4 linked regions of the Canis lupus familiaris genome follow. The protein of the gene in region 1 interacts with the protein of each later gene in a biochemical or structural test. Links are inferred from orthologs where the notes say so. Each region holds a gene or a part of one and is shown on either strand. Other genes may lie near its edges. The genes, in order: PRKCA, HMGA1, MGMT and SLC9A3R2.

What was found.
Region 2: of the proteins of PRKCA (region 1) and HMGA1, one has a biochemical effect on the other in vitro, tested with the Homo sapiens proteins (2 studies listed by BioGRID). The link is inferred for Canis lupus familiaris from reciprocal best matches to the Homo sapiens genes PRKCA and HMGA1.
Region 3: of the proteins of PRKCA (region 1) and MGMT, one has a biochemical effect on the other in vitro, tested with the Homo sapiens proteins (2 studies listed by BioGRID). The link is inferred for Canis lupus familiaris from reciprocal best matches to the Homo sapiens genes PRKCA and MGMT.
Region 4: the proteins of PRKCA (region 1) and SLC9A3R2 form a complex in vitro, tested with the Homo sapiens proteins (2 studies listed by BioGRID and IntAct, with this or other methods). The link is inferred for Canis lupus familiaris from reciprocal best matches to the Homo sapiens genes PRKCA and NHERF2.

The regions. Positions count from the first base shown.
Region 1 is NC_049230.1:13,279,514-13,283,558, forward strand, and holds part of PRKCA (protein kinase C alpha type), read left to right. Parts: intron 1-1,563; coding exon 1,564-1,728; 3' UTR 1,729-4,045. UniProt on the Homo sapiens protein: Calcium-activated, phospholipid- and diacylglycerol (DAG)-dependent serine/threonine-protein kinase that is involved in positive and negative regulation of cell proliferation, apoptosis, differentiation, migration and adhesion, tumorigenesis, cardiac hypertrophy, angiogenesis, platelet function and inflammation, by directly phosphorylating targets such as RAF1, BCL2, CSPG4, TNNT2/CTNT, or activating signaling cascade involving MAPK1/3 (ERK1/2) and RAP1GAP.
Region 2 is NC_049233.1:3,710,083-3,714,061, forward strand, and holds part of HMGA1 (high mobility group protein HMG-I/HMG-Y), read left to right. Parts: intron 1-1,436; 5' UTR 1,437-1,480; coding exon 1,481-1,615; intron 1,616-3,376; coding exon 3,377-3,460; intron 3,461-3,979. UniProt on the Homo sapiens protein: HMG-I/Y bind preferentially to the minor groove of A+T rich regions in double-stranded DNA. It is suggested that these proteins could function in nucleosome phasing and in the 3'-end processing of mRNA transcripts.
Region 3 is NC_049249.1:38,739,253-38,743,297, forward strand, and holds part of MGMT (methylated-DNA--protein-cysteine methyltransferase), read left to right. Parts: intron 1-2,505; coding exon 2,506-2,666; intron 2,667-4,045. UniProt on the Homo sapiens protein: Involved in the cellular defense against the biological effects of O6-methylguanine (O6-MeG) and O4-methylthymine (O4-MeT) in DNA. Repairs the methylated nucleobase in DNA by stoichiometrically transferring the methyl group to a cysteine residue in the enzyme.
Region 4 is NC_049227.1:39,350,007-39,354,051, reverse strand, and holds part of SLC9A3R2 (Na(+)/H(+) exchange regulatory cofactor NHE-RF2), read left to right. Parts: intron 1-1,627; coding exon 1,628-1,807; intron 1,808-2,906; coding exon 2,907-3,060; intron 3,061-3,133; coding exon 3,134-3,177; intron 3,178-3,628; coding exon 3,629-3,691; intron 3,692-3,904; coding exon 3,905-4,045.

The sequences.
Region 1 (4,045 bases):
CTGCAAGGGCCCCCATACAAGGGCTCCCTGCCTCCCTCCACACACGCATCCACATACCCACACAGCAGTCCATGGTGTGCACCCCCCCGCCATTAGGAGTGAGTGGGTGGTCACTCATGAAAATGAAAACACCTCCAGAAAGGGAGGCTGTCAGTTGTGAGAGACCTTACTTTGAACTCACGACATGCCTTAGGAGCAGGGTGGAAAAAGCCTGATGAAACTAGACCCTCGAGGAAACTTTCTAGATGGTGGGAAAGGTATAAAAGAGGAAGTGGGAAAGTATGGTCTGTGAGACTAAACTGGCCTTACAAAAATAACAGCACCCCTTGTGCTCTCACCGCATGCTGGGGTCTGTGTGAAACACCACACCCTTAACCTCCATAGCCCAGGGAGAGGATGTGGCTCTCCTCCCCCCTTTACACTCGAGGGATTGGGGTGGACTCTCCACCCCCTACCCCACCCCTTCACAGAGCTGTCCTCTGTTAAAGATCCAGTATTGCCTGGTTAGTATAAAATTGTGCTAACTCAGAACTGGTCCATATCCCCTATGGTACCAGCAGGTGGAAGGGTGATCATTGGCAACATGTGGAATACCATGATTTGTATCACCAGTGTGACCCCAACATTTCCTGTCTCAGAGTCCTCTGGGGTCCAGGGGACTTCAGCATGCCACAACCCTCCTGAGCGGCTGAGAAAGTGAGGACACCCCTTTCCCCGATTTGGGGTCAGGCTCCCACGTGGTGCTGTGCATGCTGCCATGTTTCTCAGAGCTTCCAAAAAGGCAGCTCTGCCTGCAGCCCTGTCTTTATTGGGTGCCCTGGTGGACCCTGCAGGAGAAGACTATCCAAGACAGACAGGAGACTTTGCTATCCCTGTCCAGGGCACCAGAGCAAACCCCCTCCAGCCTGAGACCACCTGCGAGTGAGCCCCGTATCGACCTGCCAGTTGATCGGATAGATCTAGATAGGCTGAAGCCCAGCTGGGCCCCAGGGTGAATGTCCCAACCTTGCCACCACACCTACCTCAATATTGGTTGAAGATCATGAACTGAGGTTTTTAGCACTTTCCAGTTGCAAAAATAACACAGCTTTTACTGTACTACAAATATGGTTGTAGAGAACCACAAGTAGGACAGAAATCTCAACTTCTTGGTTCAGAGGTTGCTGTCTGCATTCCCACCCAACATCCTGGCCTTTCGACATGGGCTGTGACTGATGGCCCTGCGCGTGTGGCATCATGCTCGTAGCCCGCTTGCTTTGTGAAGTGAAAATGAAATAAAACAGGCTGTGTCCCCTTGCTGCTGCCTTACTATCAGCAGTGCCTTTCCATGGAGGGGTTCGGTTCCGAGGGTCATCGAAGGTTTGCAACGGAGTGACTTTGCGTTATTCTTTGCTGTGGCTGGCTTTTGAATCCAGTAGGTGTCCAGATTCAGAATTCTTCCTGCCTCTCCAGTCCCAATTCCCCCGGGCCACGCTCTTCCCTGCCGAGGACTCTTGAGAGAGCTGCCACCTGTGCTTTGCAATAATTTACTGACCTTTTCTTCTTTTTCTCTTTTCTCTGCAGTGTGGCAAAGGCGCAGAAAACTTTGACAAGTTCTTCACACGAGGGCAGCCTGTCTTAACACCACCTGATCAGTTGGTCATTGCTAACATAGACCAGTCTGATTTCGAGGGGTTCTCGTATGTCAACCCCCAATTTGTGCACCCCATCTTACAGAGTGCGGTATGAAACTCACCACGAAGAACCATCGTCTCCCCCGCCCCCAGCCCTCCAGCAGTGGGAAATGATCCTTAACCCTAAAATTTTAAGGCCATGGCCTTTTCTCTTGTTCTAGATGGGGGCCTGAAAATTTTAGGGTTTTTAGTCCAAATGTGAGCAACGGTTCAGGGTCTGTCTCTTACAACCAAGAACATTACCTTAGTGGAAGATGACATAATGTACAGTGTCCAGCTTAATTATGTAGAAGTCACATCTGGCTGTAGGTTGACCCTTCCTAGAAAGCAAACAAACTCTCCCCCTTTTTCGGTACGATTTGATGTATTTTCCTTGCCTTTCTGTCAATTTCCACCATGGAGGTCCCCCAACCAGAGATGTTAAAATGAACCTGTCCCAGTCCAGTGGGCTAGACACCCCTCCACCTGAGACGTCTTTGGAATGAAAGAACGGGGAGCCCAGAATGTGAACCAGGTGGGATTGGGAGTAGGGGAGGCTTTGAAATACCCACTGCTTCTGTTCTCTGCCTCAGTGGAAACGGTCCCTAGAATTTGAGAGGCCGAGATGAATCAAGTCCCCACCGGTGAGTCATTTGCAAGCTCACCGTTACCATACATCGACAGTCGTAACCCAGTCATAGTCCAGTGATTACTGGTCTTAGAGCAAACCTCAGATGAACGTTGGGTGAATCTGTCAGCTCCCCAGTTTGGTTGACGATTATCTTGATACTTGCATTTCTTTTTAAGAGGCCAAATCTTCTAAGGACTTTGCTAAATGAGCATGTGAAATCATTTCAGATCAAGGATAAACCAGTGTGTATGTATGTTCATTCTAATCTCTGGGAGATTATTCTGTGATCCAGGGTGCCATCAGCAATCATGCCACTACTCACGAGTGTTGTTAGCCAACCCCGACCCTCCAACCAATATTTTGCTACCTATGTCCTAAGAGGCTGAAGCGTACACCCCCTCCCCTTTTGTACTTATTTATTTACTAGGCTGCAATGTCGTTTACGAGAGTACGGTGTACAGTAACTTAGCAGAGTGTTGACTATAGCATAAGTCTCCATTGATCGATTTCCCTCCCATCTCCAGCCCTTGACATCCGCTAAGGGATGAAAACCAATACAGTTCAGGTCTCCATTTCCAGTTCATGTTGAATGACACACCTGGAGCTGTAGAATCAGGAAAGCCTGGATGCACATCAGCTTGAAGATGTTTTATTGCTAGAAGGATTTTAATATGTTTTTGCAGATGCATCATGCAATGAATTTTGCATGTTTATAATAAACCTTAATAACAAGTGAATCTATATTATTGATATAATCGTATCAAGTATAAAGAGAGTATTATAATAATTTTATAAGACACAATTGTGCTATATTTGTGAAGGCTCTTGTTTCTAATCTGCTTTTATGATTAAGTTTTAGCTTCATTCCTTGCTGCTGTGCTTCCTCTTCCCTCATTCCCACCCCAAGCAAACCCTGCACTGTATCAGATATATTAATTTTTTTATCGTAGATCTAATTTTGAAATGAATGGCTATTTTACATGATCAATTAGGCGCATATATATATATATATATACATAAAATATATATATATATATACCCACACACATACATATTTTCGATTCTACCTGCAAACAAATGTTTTGTTTTTGGGGATTATTTCTGAGATAACACTCCCTCCTAGCTCCTCAGCACCATCGTCCACTCCTTTACCACTCTTCCTCTTGGGGACATCAGGAAGTGTTTGACTCCAGTATGCCTAGTATGTTTGTGTAGGTGTGATGTTGTCACAGCCCCTGGGCTGGACTTTGGTTTTTCCTTTTCAGCCTTGTTACTGTTAGTGACTTGGGGTGGGAGGGACAGGAAGACGCCCATCCTGCTATGTATGCGTGGACACACCAGAAGCACACCGTCCGTCTTGCTGCCCCCAGAACGACTCGCCGTTTGCTCCAGCACATACAGACTTCATGAGACAAACCGTCCAGTCTGGCAGCTCCCCCGCCCCATCCCGACACAGCCATCCCCTGGCTCTATCCGCAGACTCGTTAGAAGCTACAGATTTTCTTCCACCTGTTGCTGGAACCAGCCTTTCCAGTCTCATGAGGAGTACATCTGTGGTGAGACACTGTGAGACACTAACGCAAGGTCCTCGGAGAAGCCAGCCTCCTACAGCAGAAAGCACATCCGACGTGGAAGTGATTATCCGTTCTTACAGGGGCTGCTCTAAGTCCCCTCATTCTCCAAATGCGTCTCCCAGCTAAGCACCGCCTCATTTTTTACTCTCTGTTTGCCTGAAATTCATGTAACACAACCACAGAAGGGT
Region 2 (3,979 bases), on another chromosome or scaffold:
ATGTCTTCCCATTACCCCATTTTACAGATGGAGGTCTTTTGGAAGTGTAGCTGTGTGGGCCCGCCCTTTCCCAAGGGCAACCAGGGATCTGTTACCAGGGAGGTACAGAGTCCTAGGTCTCCCGGGTCTCCTGTCTCTGCAACTGGAAAGACAAGAGGGGAAATGGGATGGGGGAGGGGAGGACCCTCACTGTGTTTTAAGCCTCTGGAAGAGCCACCCTAATCCGGGGTGCAGGTGCTCCTTGCAGTGGGAGGTTTTATGTAAACTCAAAATTAGTGGGGCTGATTAAACCCAAAACGGCCTCTAAGAAGAGGGAAAATGCTAGAAAAGAAGCTTTGAGGACCAGCTCTGCCAGGGCTGGGGGGGTGGGAGGGAGGGAGGGCAGCCAGCATCTGCTAGAAGGATCCATCTCAGTGGAGAAATTCTGCCCCTCCTGAAAGCAGGCATCAAAGGGGAAGATTTTATTTGACTCCAGGTGGGTGGGGTGGGGATAAGGGGAAAGGGCTTTGGGTTTTCCTCCCCTACTACAATTTTGGCCATCTTCCCCCTTCCCAAACTGTTCCCAGCCTTGAATCCCCAAGGCTCTTGCCCAGGGAGAGCAGAGAGGAGACCTAAGTGGTGGGGTGGGCACCACCCCTGGCCAGGTGATTGATGTGGAGTGTCGCAGTTGGTCCTGAGGCTTGGGCCGTGGCAGATAGGCAACTCTCTTGGCCAGGTGGGGGGGTACTGATGGCCCTGGCTGTCTGGGGCTGATTGATTCTGCTTCCCTTTCCTCCCCTGTTGACTGTGAGCCATTCAGGCTTGCTTTTCTCTAAGAGAAAGGGCAGCTGGCTAGACAGAGGGACCTTGGGCAGTGTGAGGACCCCCCAACCTACACCTCCGTCTAGGTGGCCTCACCTGCAGAAATACATCTGAGCTTGGCTGTGCCTCTTGAGCCTGGGCCCCGTGGGGGTGGCAGGACAACAAAGCACCCTTCTGAGCAGGAGATAAGGAGCTGATTAGGGCCAACGGCCCAGCCCCACCCTGTAGCAGCCTGCCCGGGCTGGGTAGACACCCCCCACAACTCCCCATCCTTTTTTTTTTTTTTTTTAAGGCTTTTTTTTTTTTTTTTTTAAGATTTTATTTATTTATTCATGAGAGACCCACACAGCGAGAGACAGGGACCACAGGCAGAGGGAGAAGCAGGCTCCATGCAGGGAGCCCGATGCAGGACCTGATCCCAGGACTCCAGGATCACACCCTGGGCTGAAGGTGGCGCTAAACCACTGAGCCACCCAGGGATTCCCCCTCATCCCATCCTCAGGATGTCAGGAATCCTGGGTAGCCCTAGGAGTAGGCAGGGTCCTACAGTGCATTTGGAGGGTGGAAGTGGTGAAGGAGATAGGAGGTGGCTGAAGCAAGATGTCGTGTTTAAAACAACTTCTCCTGCTCCCTAGCATCCCAGCCGTCGCTCCTCCACCTGCTCCAGAGAGAAGGGAAGATGAGCGAGTCGAGCTCGAAGTCCAGCCAGCCTTTGGCCTCCAAGCAGGAAAAGGACGGCACTGAGAAGCGAGGGCGGGGCCGGCCGCGCAAGCAGCCTCCGGTGAGTCCCGGGACGGCGCTGGTAGGGAGTCAGGTGGGTGTCCAAACCTTTGCTCGGTTTACCCCCTTTGGGTTAGGGAGGTGCCACGTGTCTGAGCAAGTGACAGCTGGAGTAGAGGGCTGCAGAATCCATGCTGCATGTCGGTGTGCGCTCACTCCAAACATGCACCCCACACATGCCAACCCTGGTCAGCTCCTGAGACCCCAGGAGAGAAGTGGGGGCTGAGAAATTTTTTTTTTTTTGGGGGGGGGGGCTGAGAAATTTGAGTGACCCCTGAGCCCATGCCAGATAATCCAAGCCAGAAGTGACCTCATGCTCACATCCTGGTAAACTACCCACCCTTTATGTCCAGGCTGTTGTGGATAGACCAGCATGTTTACAAAAACACAGTAAAGAGGAGTTTACATATATGTCTAAGTCCTGTGTTTCTAATCCTTAGGCTCACGGCACATACTTGTCTGTCCATTAGCCATAAAAGTTACTAAATACTTAACTGTCAACTCCGTACTTCCTTATCCCAGACCTATAACAAAGCTTGTGGGCTGCACCTGTCCACAGGCCTGGCTTCAAGCGGCCCTGGGCCCAGGCACCACTCTGGCTCCGTAAAAGGAAACGGAAGCCCAAGAACAGAAAATGTGGGGAAGTTGTCATAGGAGTGGGACTCTGGGAACCCTGGTGCTGGCCACCACTGAGGTTCCACAGGGTTAGAAGGCCAGCCTGGCCCCTTGGGGCACCCTAGGGAGCATGGCCTGTGAGGCTGTCGGGGGAGCACCTGTCACTTGGTGGAGATCTTGGATTCTCTCGGAGGGGCTGCAGGGGTGAGGGCCAGAGGCCAGGGGTCCAGGTCAACCCTTGCTCTTTGCTCCGTGGGCCTCAGGCTTCTCCTACCTGTAGGATGGAGAGCACGGGAGGTACTGACTGCGGGGAGACATGAGCCCTGAGAAGTCAGAGTGGTGGGCTTCAGCTGCCCCTGGCACAGCCCACAGTGTGGAGGGAGTTGGTCTTTTTGTCTCATTCCCTCGGCCTCCACCTCTTGCTAGGTAGCTGGGGTCTGCAGCCGGGTGTCTGGGTGGTGGTGGGGGGTGTTTTGGGTTACTGGACTATAGTTCCAAACAGCCTGTGGGCAGCTACCCCGAAACCGTAGCTGACCTGCCTTTACTGTCCAGCTTCTGTGCATTATGCAGCAGCTTTTTATTCCGTCAGGCTTAGTCAGGCTTAGTAAATTTCACCGGCGACTACGGCAGGGATCTCTTGGTTTCTGACATCCGGGCCTGATTTCCCTCCCTGGGACAAAGCCTGGAGGGAGTTTGGTTTGCAGGTAGTGGTTGGAGGCTCCCTCTGGTTGGGGGGTGTTTATCCTCTTCTGCATTCCCCCAGGGGCTGGGGCGTGGTATTGGCCCAGTGGGGGACACTTCTGCACCCTTCCTTGAGGCTCTGATGCTCTGTGAGGGAAGTCTTCTCACCATTTGCAGTTGAGGAGACTGAGTCCCAAGCATTCTGGGTCTTGCCTGAGAGCTTAGGGCCCATTGGTGGCAGAGCTGCCGGATGGGTTTTTCTGCCCTATGACCCCTTTCCCTTTTCTGGTTTCTTGTCATTTTGTTGTCACAGGGAAGCACGGGAGGGGCTTTGCAAAATAGAGCGAGAACTTGGGTCTGGAGGGCTTGCCTGCTGTGGTGCCTGTGGATTTCTGGGTCAGGGTGATGGCTGGCTGACTTGGGGTGGAGGGGAGAGCTGTGTCTCGAAAGGGGTGGGGCAGATGGCATCTGTGTCCGATTATCCCACCTGCCTTTGCAGAAGGAACCCAGTGAAGTGCCAACACCTAAGAGACCTCGGGGCCGACCAAAGGGGAGCAAAAACAAGGGTGCTGCCAAGACCCGGGTAAGGATGAAGGAGGCACGGGTGGCAGTGGGTCTTGGCAAACTGGGGACAGCAGGGCAATGACTGACTCCTCACTGGTGGGCACTCAGGCCTGCACAGGACGATGGGGAAATCCAGTTAGAAGCCCCATAGCTCTCCTTGTCTGGAGAAAGGTGAATGGGGAAGAGTGAAGGGGTAGTTCCATCACTCCCTAGGCTGACCATGTTCCGTTCCATTCCGGGGTCCCCTGAATCCCCAGAGAAATGGGGCCAAGCAGGGTAGGCCAGATTTACAGTGGCATCAGTCTCTCAGAGAAGTTGTTTTGTTTTTTATTTTATTTTTTCTGAGACACGACTCATATCCTCTGAGTCATGGGTGGAGGAGGGAGTGGGGGGCGTGTGTGTATATTGGGGGGGGGGTGCAGTGTGGCTAGCCAGTCATCACCAGCTGGCTTCGGGTGGGCCCGCAGGCTGAGGGAGTCCCAGGCTGCCCTGAGCAGAGGTAGGTGGTTCGGTCCCTCCCCATCCTGGTGGGGCACTG
Region 3 (4,045 bases), on another chromosome or scaffold:
GCTCTCCGTAGCGCACCCCTGCTCTCCCTCCACCCCCGGGGGGGACGGCCGGGCACCTGACGCTGCTCCCCACCCTTGTTTGCAGTATTGTCAGCGCGTGTTGATTTGTGCGGGAGGAACAGTGTGCGGACAGAGGGACTGGACTTGCTCGAGTTGAATAACGTTTGAGGGGCGCCTGGGTGGCTCAGCAGTTGAGCATCTGCCTTTGGCCCAGGGTGTGATCCCGGGTCCTGGGATCGAGTTCTCCCTCAGGCTCCCCGCAGGGAGCCTGCTTCTCCCTCTGCCCATGTCTCTGCCTCTCTCTCTCTGCCTCTCTCTGTGTGTCTCATGAATAAATAAAATCTTAGGAAAAAAATATGAAGGATGTTTGAGCCGGGCATGGGAAGTTTGACCCCTTCCCCGACCAGATGTCCTGATGGAGAGAGACCAGGGCAGGAAGGAGGTGCCGTGTCCACGTCCAGGAGCATCTTTGCGAGGCCCTTGAGCTGCTCCGCTGGCTCCGAGGTGCCCCTCTATTGCTCTGGGGTCCAGGCCGGCCACGGGCCCGTCCACAGGAGTTCCCACCCACGGAGATCTCGGGAAGGTGGTGGCTCCGGGGCCTGCTCTGTCCATCGGGGGTCGGCAGGATGGCTGGACCGTGGCCAGCACCTCGGGGCATGCGTCTGTCGTCCCTCTGCCTGTTTGCGTCCGTGGGCTCAGTTCTTTCTTCCTTCTGTCTGGTCCCTCGTTACCACTGTCCATGTGCAAGTGCTTAGAGAGCCTTCCCTGATCCACTGTTCTACTGTGGAAAAACAGCATAAAGGGTGTTTCTGTGCATCCCAAACAAGGAAGCTTATTTCTGCAAAGATCCAAGGCCATCAGTGGAGACTCTCATTTCCATGGAATGCCAGGCATGAAAGACTTGGACTCCAGCATAGGATCGTGTGCAGGACCTGCTTAGAGGTCGTCAGGGGTTCTCTGCAGCTCTAGCGTGAAGCATACCTGCTTCCAGACGTGCAGCGGCCTGTGCGTGCCGATGGCCTTCTCACACAGGCGGCGTCAGGCTGCGCGCTCAGGGACTTGAGTCTCACTGTCGTCCCTGCATTGGGCCACATGGCCCAGTGAGTGGTGACCCTCGTAAGGCTGCTGCGTACAAGGTGAAAAAGGCAGGCTGTGGACTGACGCCCGTGCACGCATCCTCAGCACACAGGGTGAGCCTGCACCTCCCCTGCCCCCAAAGCTTCAGTAGCCGAGGATAAAGAGACAGGCTGTGCCTTCCAGGCCGGGAGCCACTAGGAAACCTGCTGCCTGTCCAGGGCCTTGGAGGGTAAGGAAGGAAAGTCAGCTGAAGAAATCAGACGTGGTGCCGGTGCTTTGGTGGGTGTGGGGTCCTGGGAAAGTGAAATGAAAACTGGATCCAGGGATCCCTGGGTGGCGCAGCGGTTTGGTGCCTGCCTTTGGCCCAGGGCGCAATCCTGGAGACCCAGGATCGAATCCCACATCAGGCTCCCGGTGCATGGAGCCTGCTTCTCCCTCTGCCTATGTCTCTGCCTCTCTCTCTCTCTCTGTGACTATCATAAATAAATAAAAATTAAAAAAAAAAATTTAAATTTAAAAAAAAAAAAAAAAAAAAAAAAAAAGAAAACTGGATCCATCGTGAAAGTGTAGGGCTCCGAAGCAGCAAGAGTAAAGCCTCTCCGTGGGGATCTCCCCAGAGACCTGGCACCTGCCAAAAGTAAGTCAGCTCTGTGAGAGGCAGCTACTGGGTCCCTTGGACAGAGGAATTAGACCCCGAGGGCAAGGAGCAAACTGAACGGAGTCTCAGGTATGTTGGTTTGAGTTTAAGGAGATAAAAGGAAGAAAGTGACCGTAGTGATTGAACAAGGGAACTCGGAAAAAAAAAAAAAAAAAAAAAAAGAAGCCAGAGCACAGTGACTGATGTGAGCCTCGCAGGACGACGGGCACACGGATTAGACACTGCAGCGTGAGACTCTGTAGGCTGGAAGCAGACCCCAAGGAAATCCCCCAGAACGCAGCTCAGAGCGGTGGAAAATCCTGAATGTGCTGTTGTGTTGAAATTCAGTAGGATTGGGGAGGGGGTTGATGAAAATGCAGGTGAATTACTTTGGTAATATTTCTTAAGTACTTTTGATAACACATGGCGATTTTACAGATGAGCGACGGAGACCCACGTGCGCCTGAGTCTTAGGAAGGGGCAGCCACATGCCCACTGGGGCCACTTCTGTGCTTATCATCCTGGCTCTGTCCCATCCTGCCAAATACAGGAGCCTGTGTACTAGGCTGTTCCTTCCTGGAATCACCTCTTGGTTGTGTTTCTTAAAGCTAAAGGTGGAAACGTGGCTGGGAGGCACCCCACGCCCTCCCACAGGCACCTGCCCACTGCTGCGCCGCACAGCGGGCACACATCCCGGGGAGACTGCTATGGACTTACACGTTTCTGTTTGCTTTTCACACGTGTGGACGCAGGGCCGGAGGTTTATTATGCGCCTGTTATCACTTTTGCAGACCCGCAGAGGCCCCCGCTCCTCCCGAGCTGCTCGGCTGTCCAGAGGAAATGACGGAGCCACTGGTGCAGTGCGTGGCCTGGCTGGATGCCTATTTCCGTGAGCCCTCGGTCCTCCCGGGCCTCCCCTTGCCCGCGATTCACCATCCCATTTTCCAGCGAGGTCAGTAACTCCGCCGCCTCTTAGGGTTTTGCTCAGGGAGCTTGACTGATGAACTATCACTTACATCGCAGCCCATTTTATCGACTACACTGACTTGGTATTTTTACATCATCTAAACAGAGACAGCATGTGGCCACACTATAAGGACAAGAGTTCACGATCTCCACCCATTCCAAATGCTTGTGTTAGTTTTGGCACATGGTCACATAATTCTTGGCAAAGGCAGTAAAAATGATGCATGCAGATCGACTCTTGACTCTTGTTGGCTGAAAGGTTTAAATGGGAACACATCTGAATAGCAGGGAATTTTTCAATAAGCTTATTGTTAACTTAAACTATCTGCTTGCCAACAGCACAGAAAATGAGGCTTGTACATGGACAATTAGCCACTTCCATAAACTCGGCTGGTGACATTTACATCAGAGTGGGTAGCGGCGTTGTGTTGTCGCGGATAAGTTCTCAGTCTCATTTCTCAAGCTTGCCGTAGTTGGATACCGTGTTCTTAAAGCACGAATTGAGAACTCATTGCCTAATGTAGCCGGCTAAAGGCACATGGTCTGTGGTCGCCGAAAAACATTTTCCCAGACGCTTCCTTTTAAGTTGTTTGTGCCTTAATTATGTCAACTAAAATTACTCTAGACACACAGCAGAGGTTTCTTTGGCATAGTAGTGATTTTTTTTTTTTTACTCATTTTAATATAGATGCGTGTGTGTGTACACGTAAATATGTAGATGTGTGCACACGTATACTCAAGGGAAAAAAATTTTAGGTTTTAGGTAAGGCAAATTTAGGGGATCCTGGGTGGCTCAGTCGGTTGAGCATCAGACTCTTGGTTTGGGCTCAGGTCGTGACCTTGGGGTGGCGAGATCGAGCCCCACGTTGGGCTCTGTGCTCAGCAGGGCATCTGCTTGAGATTCTCTCTCCCTCTGCCCCTCCCCCTAAAATAAGTATATCTTTAAAGTAAACTTAAAGCAATCTTGAGTTTCAAAACTGAGCATCCTAAATATGTTTAATGGCATTCTAATAGCTGCCATGATTTTTAGCGAAAAGGAACTTAAAAGTAGAGTAGAATTTTCAGGGGCAGTGACTAGAGAAGCTCCTGGAAAGCTGAGCTCACACCTGAGTTGATTAACAAGGTCAAACAAGTGAACAGATAATACCTTGAGCATTTTCGCACATAATGAACTGAAACGATACAAGTGTAATGAGCAGGGCCCCCTATTAGCCCCCTGCGTCGTTCAGACGGTCTCCAGGAGGGGTGTAGGAGCTCCGGTGGGCCTTGGCACATCGCTGTGAGCACGTGCTGGGTGGGCCCAGTGTCCGGGGAGGGGTGAGGGGGGCACAGCCACTCCATAGTAGTGGGAGCCAACTGGCTGCC
Region 4 (4,045 bases), on another chromosome or scaffold:
TGTTTGGGGGCCTTGAGAGACCCGCCTAAGAGGTCATTGTGGAGGGCGTGAGAAGAGTCTGGACAGCTCAGCGCCAGGGTGCTGTCCTCTCCAACGCGTGTGTCTCCGCGTGTTGCCGTGTAGCGTGTTTGTGAGCATACGTTTGGAGTCTTGTGTCTGTGCCCACGCACCTCTGCCAACCGGGGCTTGTCTGCCGATCCCTGCTCTGGCAGCCTGTATCCGAGAGGCACATCAGGGCGGGGAGTGGGCCCCCAAGCCTGGGCCCCCAGGAGTGTCAGGGAGAGGGGATGAGTCTCTATGGGGTGGGGGGAGAACTTTGGGGGTCTCACACCCATCCGTTCAGCCCATGTTGCCGAACCCCTGGGACACTGAGGGGCAGGAGCCCTGTCCCCTGAGTTCCTGGGCTTACGGGGCTGGGTGGGGGCCTGTGGCAGGGATCCCAAGGGCGTGTCTGCGTGGCTTCGGGGGTCAGGGAAGGGACCCCAGAGGAGGGGCATTCTGGACAGTGGGAGGCCCTGCAAGAAAAGATGTGCTTGGGTCCCCGGCCCGGCCGGCTAGCAGGCCAGGGCCCTCGTGGTCAGATTGGGGGTGTGGACGGAGCTTGGGGGGGCGGCTGGGAGCGGCCAGGGGGTGGCCCGAGCTGAGGAGCTGAGGGGCAGGTGCTGGAGACTTTCCCTGAGGGCGAGGGCGAGGGCGAGGGCGAGGTGGACCGGGGGAGGGAGGGCTTCAGGAGCACCCCCACGCCGCACACGCTCACCTGCACGCGCCCCCACATCCCCAGCAGCCCGGGCAATCCGAGCCGCCGCCGCCCGCCTCCAGCCACCGCCCCGTGTAACTGAGCACCCGCTCCGCGGCTGCTGGGCGCTCTGCTCACTACCCGGGCTGCGGCTGGGAGGGGGCCCGGGGCCTGGCCCCTGCCCGCCGGCCCCTGCCCCAGAGCCCTGCTGCAGGATGCTGGAGGTAAAGTGAGGCGAGGCCCTGGCCTGTGGATGGGGGGACGCTCGGGGCGTCGGGGACCTCTGTGCTCTGGCAGGGAGGGTGGAGGCAGGGCATACCCGTGGCCTCCTCGCTGGGCTCCGGCCCGGCTCCAGCCTGTGCACCCCGCCGCTGGGCCCTGTGCGGGTGGGGGTGGCTCCAGCTTGCTCTGGAATGTGAAAGCAAACACAGCCTGCTGCCACCAGCCCTATGGAGGCCACTGGGAGAAAAAACAAACGTCAGCCTCACACTCGGAGGAGGGAGGTGGCGAGGGGTGCCCCCGCAGGGCCAGCGGGCCCAGGACGCCTGGCTGCCCCTAGGACCCCGGCCTGTGCTCAGCGCTGCCCTTGAGCGGATCCTGTCAGCACCCCTGTCAAGCCCCTAGTCCCACCTCAAGTTGGTTTTGGGTTTGGAGAGTGAGGCTTTGCTCCAGAACCTGCAGCTGGAGCTTGGGCACAGGCGGCCTAAGGGGGTCCACCCAGGCACGGGTACAGCGTTTGTCCTGTGAGCTGGGGCTGCCTGGCGGGGGAATGTAGAGCCTGGAATTAGGGTTCCCTCCAGCTTGCGTCCACTGCAGCTGCAGATGGGGGGCGGGGTGGGGGAGGCTTGGGGGCTGGAGATCAGTGCTGAGCCTGGTCTCATGCGCCTGCAGGATGTCGGTGGGCCCCCCAGGGAGCTACGCCCTCGGCTCTGCCACCTGAGAAAGGGCCCCCAAGGTTACGGGTTCAACCTGCACAGTGACAAGTCCCGGCCGGGACAGTACATCCGCTCCGTGGACCCAGGCTCGCCTGCCGCTCACTCTGGCCTCCGCGCCCAGGACAGACTCATCGAGGTACCTGTTGTGGAGGCTTTGGGGTGCTGGGGGCCCCATGAGAGGTGTGTGTGTCTGGGCCCGTGTCCCTCCATGTGTGTGTCTGGCTCGTGTGCCCATGGGGTGTGTGTCTGGGTCTGTGTCCCTCCATGTGTGTATCTGGCTTGTGTGCCCCTGGGGTGTGTGTCTGGCCTTTGTGCCCTGAGGTGTGTGTCTGGACCCGTGTCGCCCCGGGTGTGTGTCTGGGCCATGTCCCTCCATGTGTGTGTCTGGCTTGTGTGCCCCCAGGGTGTGTGTCTGGCCCATGTGCCCTGGGGTGTGTGTCTGGCCCGTGTGCCCCTGAGTGTGTGTGTCTGGCCCGTGTGCCCCTGAGTGTGTCTGGTCCGTGTGCCCCGGGTGTGTGTCTGGGTCTGTGTCCCTCCATGTGTGTGTCTGGGCCCGTGTCCCTCCATGTGTGTGTCTGGCTCGTGTGCCCCAGGTGTGTGTCTGGGCCCGTGTCCCTCCATGTGTGTATCTGGCTTGTGTGCCCCTGGGGTGTGTGTCTGGCCCGTGTGCCCCGGGTGTGTGTCTGGCCCGTGTGCCCCAGGTGTGTGTCTGGGCCCGTGTCCCTCCATGTGTGTGTCTGGCTCGTGTGCCCCCGGGTGTGTCTGGTTCGTGTGCCCCAGGTGTGTGTCTGGGCCTGTGTCCCTCCATGTGTGTGTCTGGCCCGTGTGCCCCTGGGGTGTGTGTCTGGCCCGTGTCGCTCCATGTGTGTGTCTGGCCTATGTGCCCTGGGGTGTGTGTCTGGGCTCGTGTGCCCCCGGGTGTGTGTCTGGGCCCGTGTCCCTCCATGTGTGTGTCTGGCCCGTGTGCCCCTGGGGTGTGTTTCTGGGCTCGTGTGCCCCGATGTGTGTCTGGCCCGTGTCCCTCCATGTGTGTGTCTGGCTTGTGTGCCCCGGGTGTGTCTGGGCAGCAAGGTCCTTGCTGGGGAGAGATGCTGGGAACTTGAGCTGGCATTCCTCTTCCTGCCACGGCTGGTGACAACATTGATGAATATTTGATGCCACGCCTGGCTGGGTGGCTCGAGGGGCCTGCGGGGGCCTGACCTCGGGCCAGGTTGACCTCACGCTGCTGCTGGCAGGTGAATGGGCAGAATGTGGAGGGGCTGCGCCACGCAGAGGTGGTCGCCAGCATCAAGGCGCAGGAGGACGAGGCCCGGCTGCTGGTGGTGGACCCCGAAACGGATGAGCACTTCAAGCGGCTACGGGTCACACCTACTGAGGAGCACGTGGAAGGTGGGCTGCTGCCTGGGGCTGGGGACGGGGTGGCATGGGGGGTTGGCCAGCCACCGACACGCTGTCCCCACAGGTCCACTGCTATCACCAGTCACCAATGGGACCAGCCCTGCCCAGGTGAGAGGGTGGGAATGGACAGGGTGGACTCAGGAGCCTGTTGGGGCCCCTCTAGGGATCCCCAGACCTGCCCGTGCCCCCACCTCAAGATCTCCCTGTGTGGGTGTGATAGCGAGACCCAATCCTGCCAGCCACTCCGGGTCCTGCCTGGGTCAGCCCCGCCCCCGCCCCACGAGGCTGCTGGCGGGTGAGCTGCAGTCATGCTGCGTCACTCCTCGGGAGGCGGTCCCGGCTTCACCCCAAGTGATGCTCATGGGGGTGATTCCGTAGTGAGCAGGCGGGGGGCAGGCTCCCCGCCCTTGGCAGCACCCGCGGCTCCTGCCCAGGCTCGGTGCCTACTGCCAGACAGAAGAATGAATGCGGCTCTGATGTGTGTGCACGAGCGTCTGCGTGGGCACTGGCGGCTCCCGGGCACGGGCCCTGCAGCCACACCGTGTCCTTGCTTTCCTAGCTGAACGGTGGCTCAGCGTGTTCGTCCCGAAGTGATCTGCCTGGCTTAGACAAGGACACTGAGGTAGCGAGTGCCCGCCCGCCTCACTGCAGTGCCCACACATGGGGGAGGGTGGAAAGAGGCCGGGGTGGGTGTTGGTGTGGCTGGCAGCCTGGGCAGTGGGGTCACCGCCTCCAGGAAGCCCCGGGCCTGCTGCCCCAGCCCCACCAGCCGGCCTCTGCGGAGAGCTGCCTCCCAGGCTCACACTGGCCGCCTGCCCACTCTGCCTGCCCCCAGGACAGCAACACCTGGAAGCGTGACCCCTTTCAGGAGAGCGGCCTCCACCTGAGCCCCACGGCGGCCGAAGCCAAGGAGAAGGCGAGAGCCACCCGGGTCAACAAGCGGGCGCCACAGATGGACTGGAACCGGAAGCGCGAG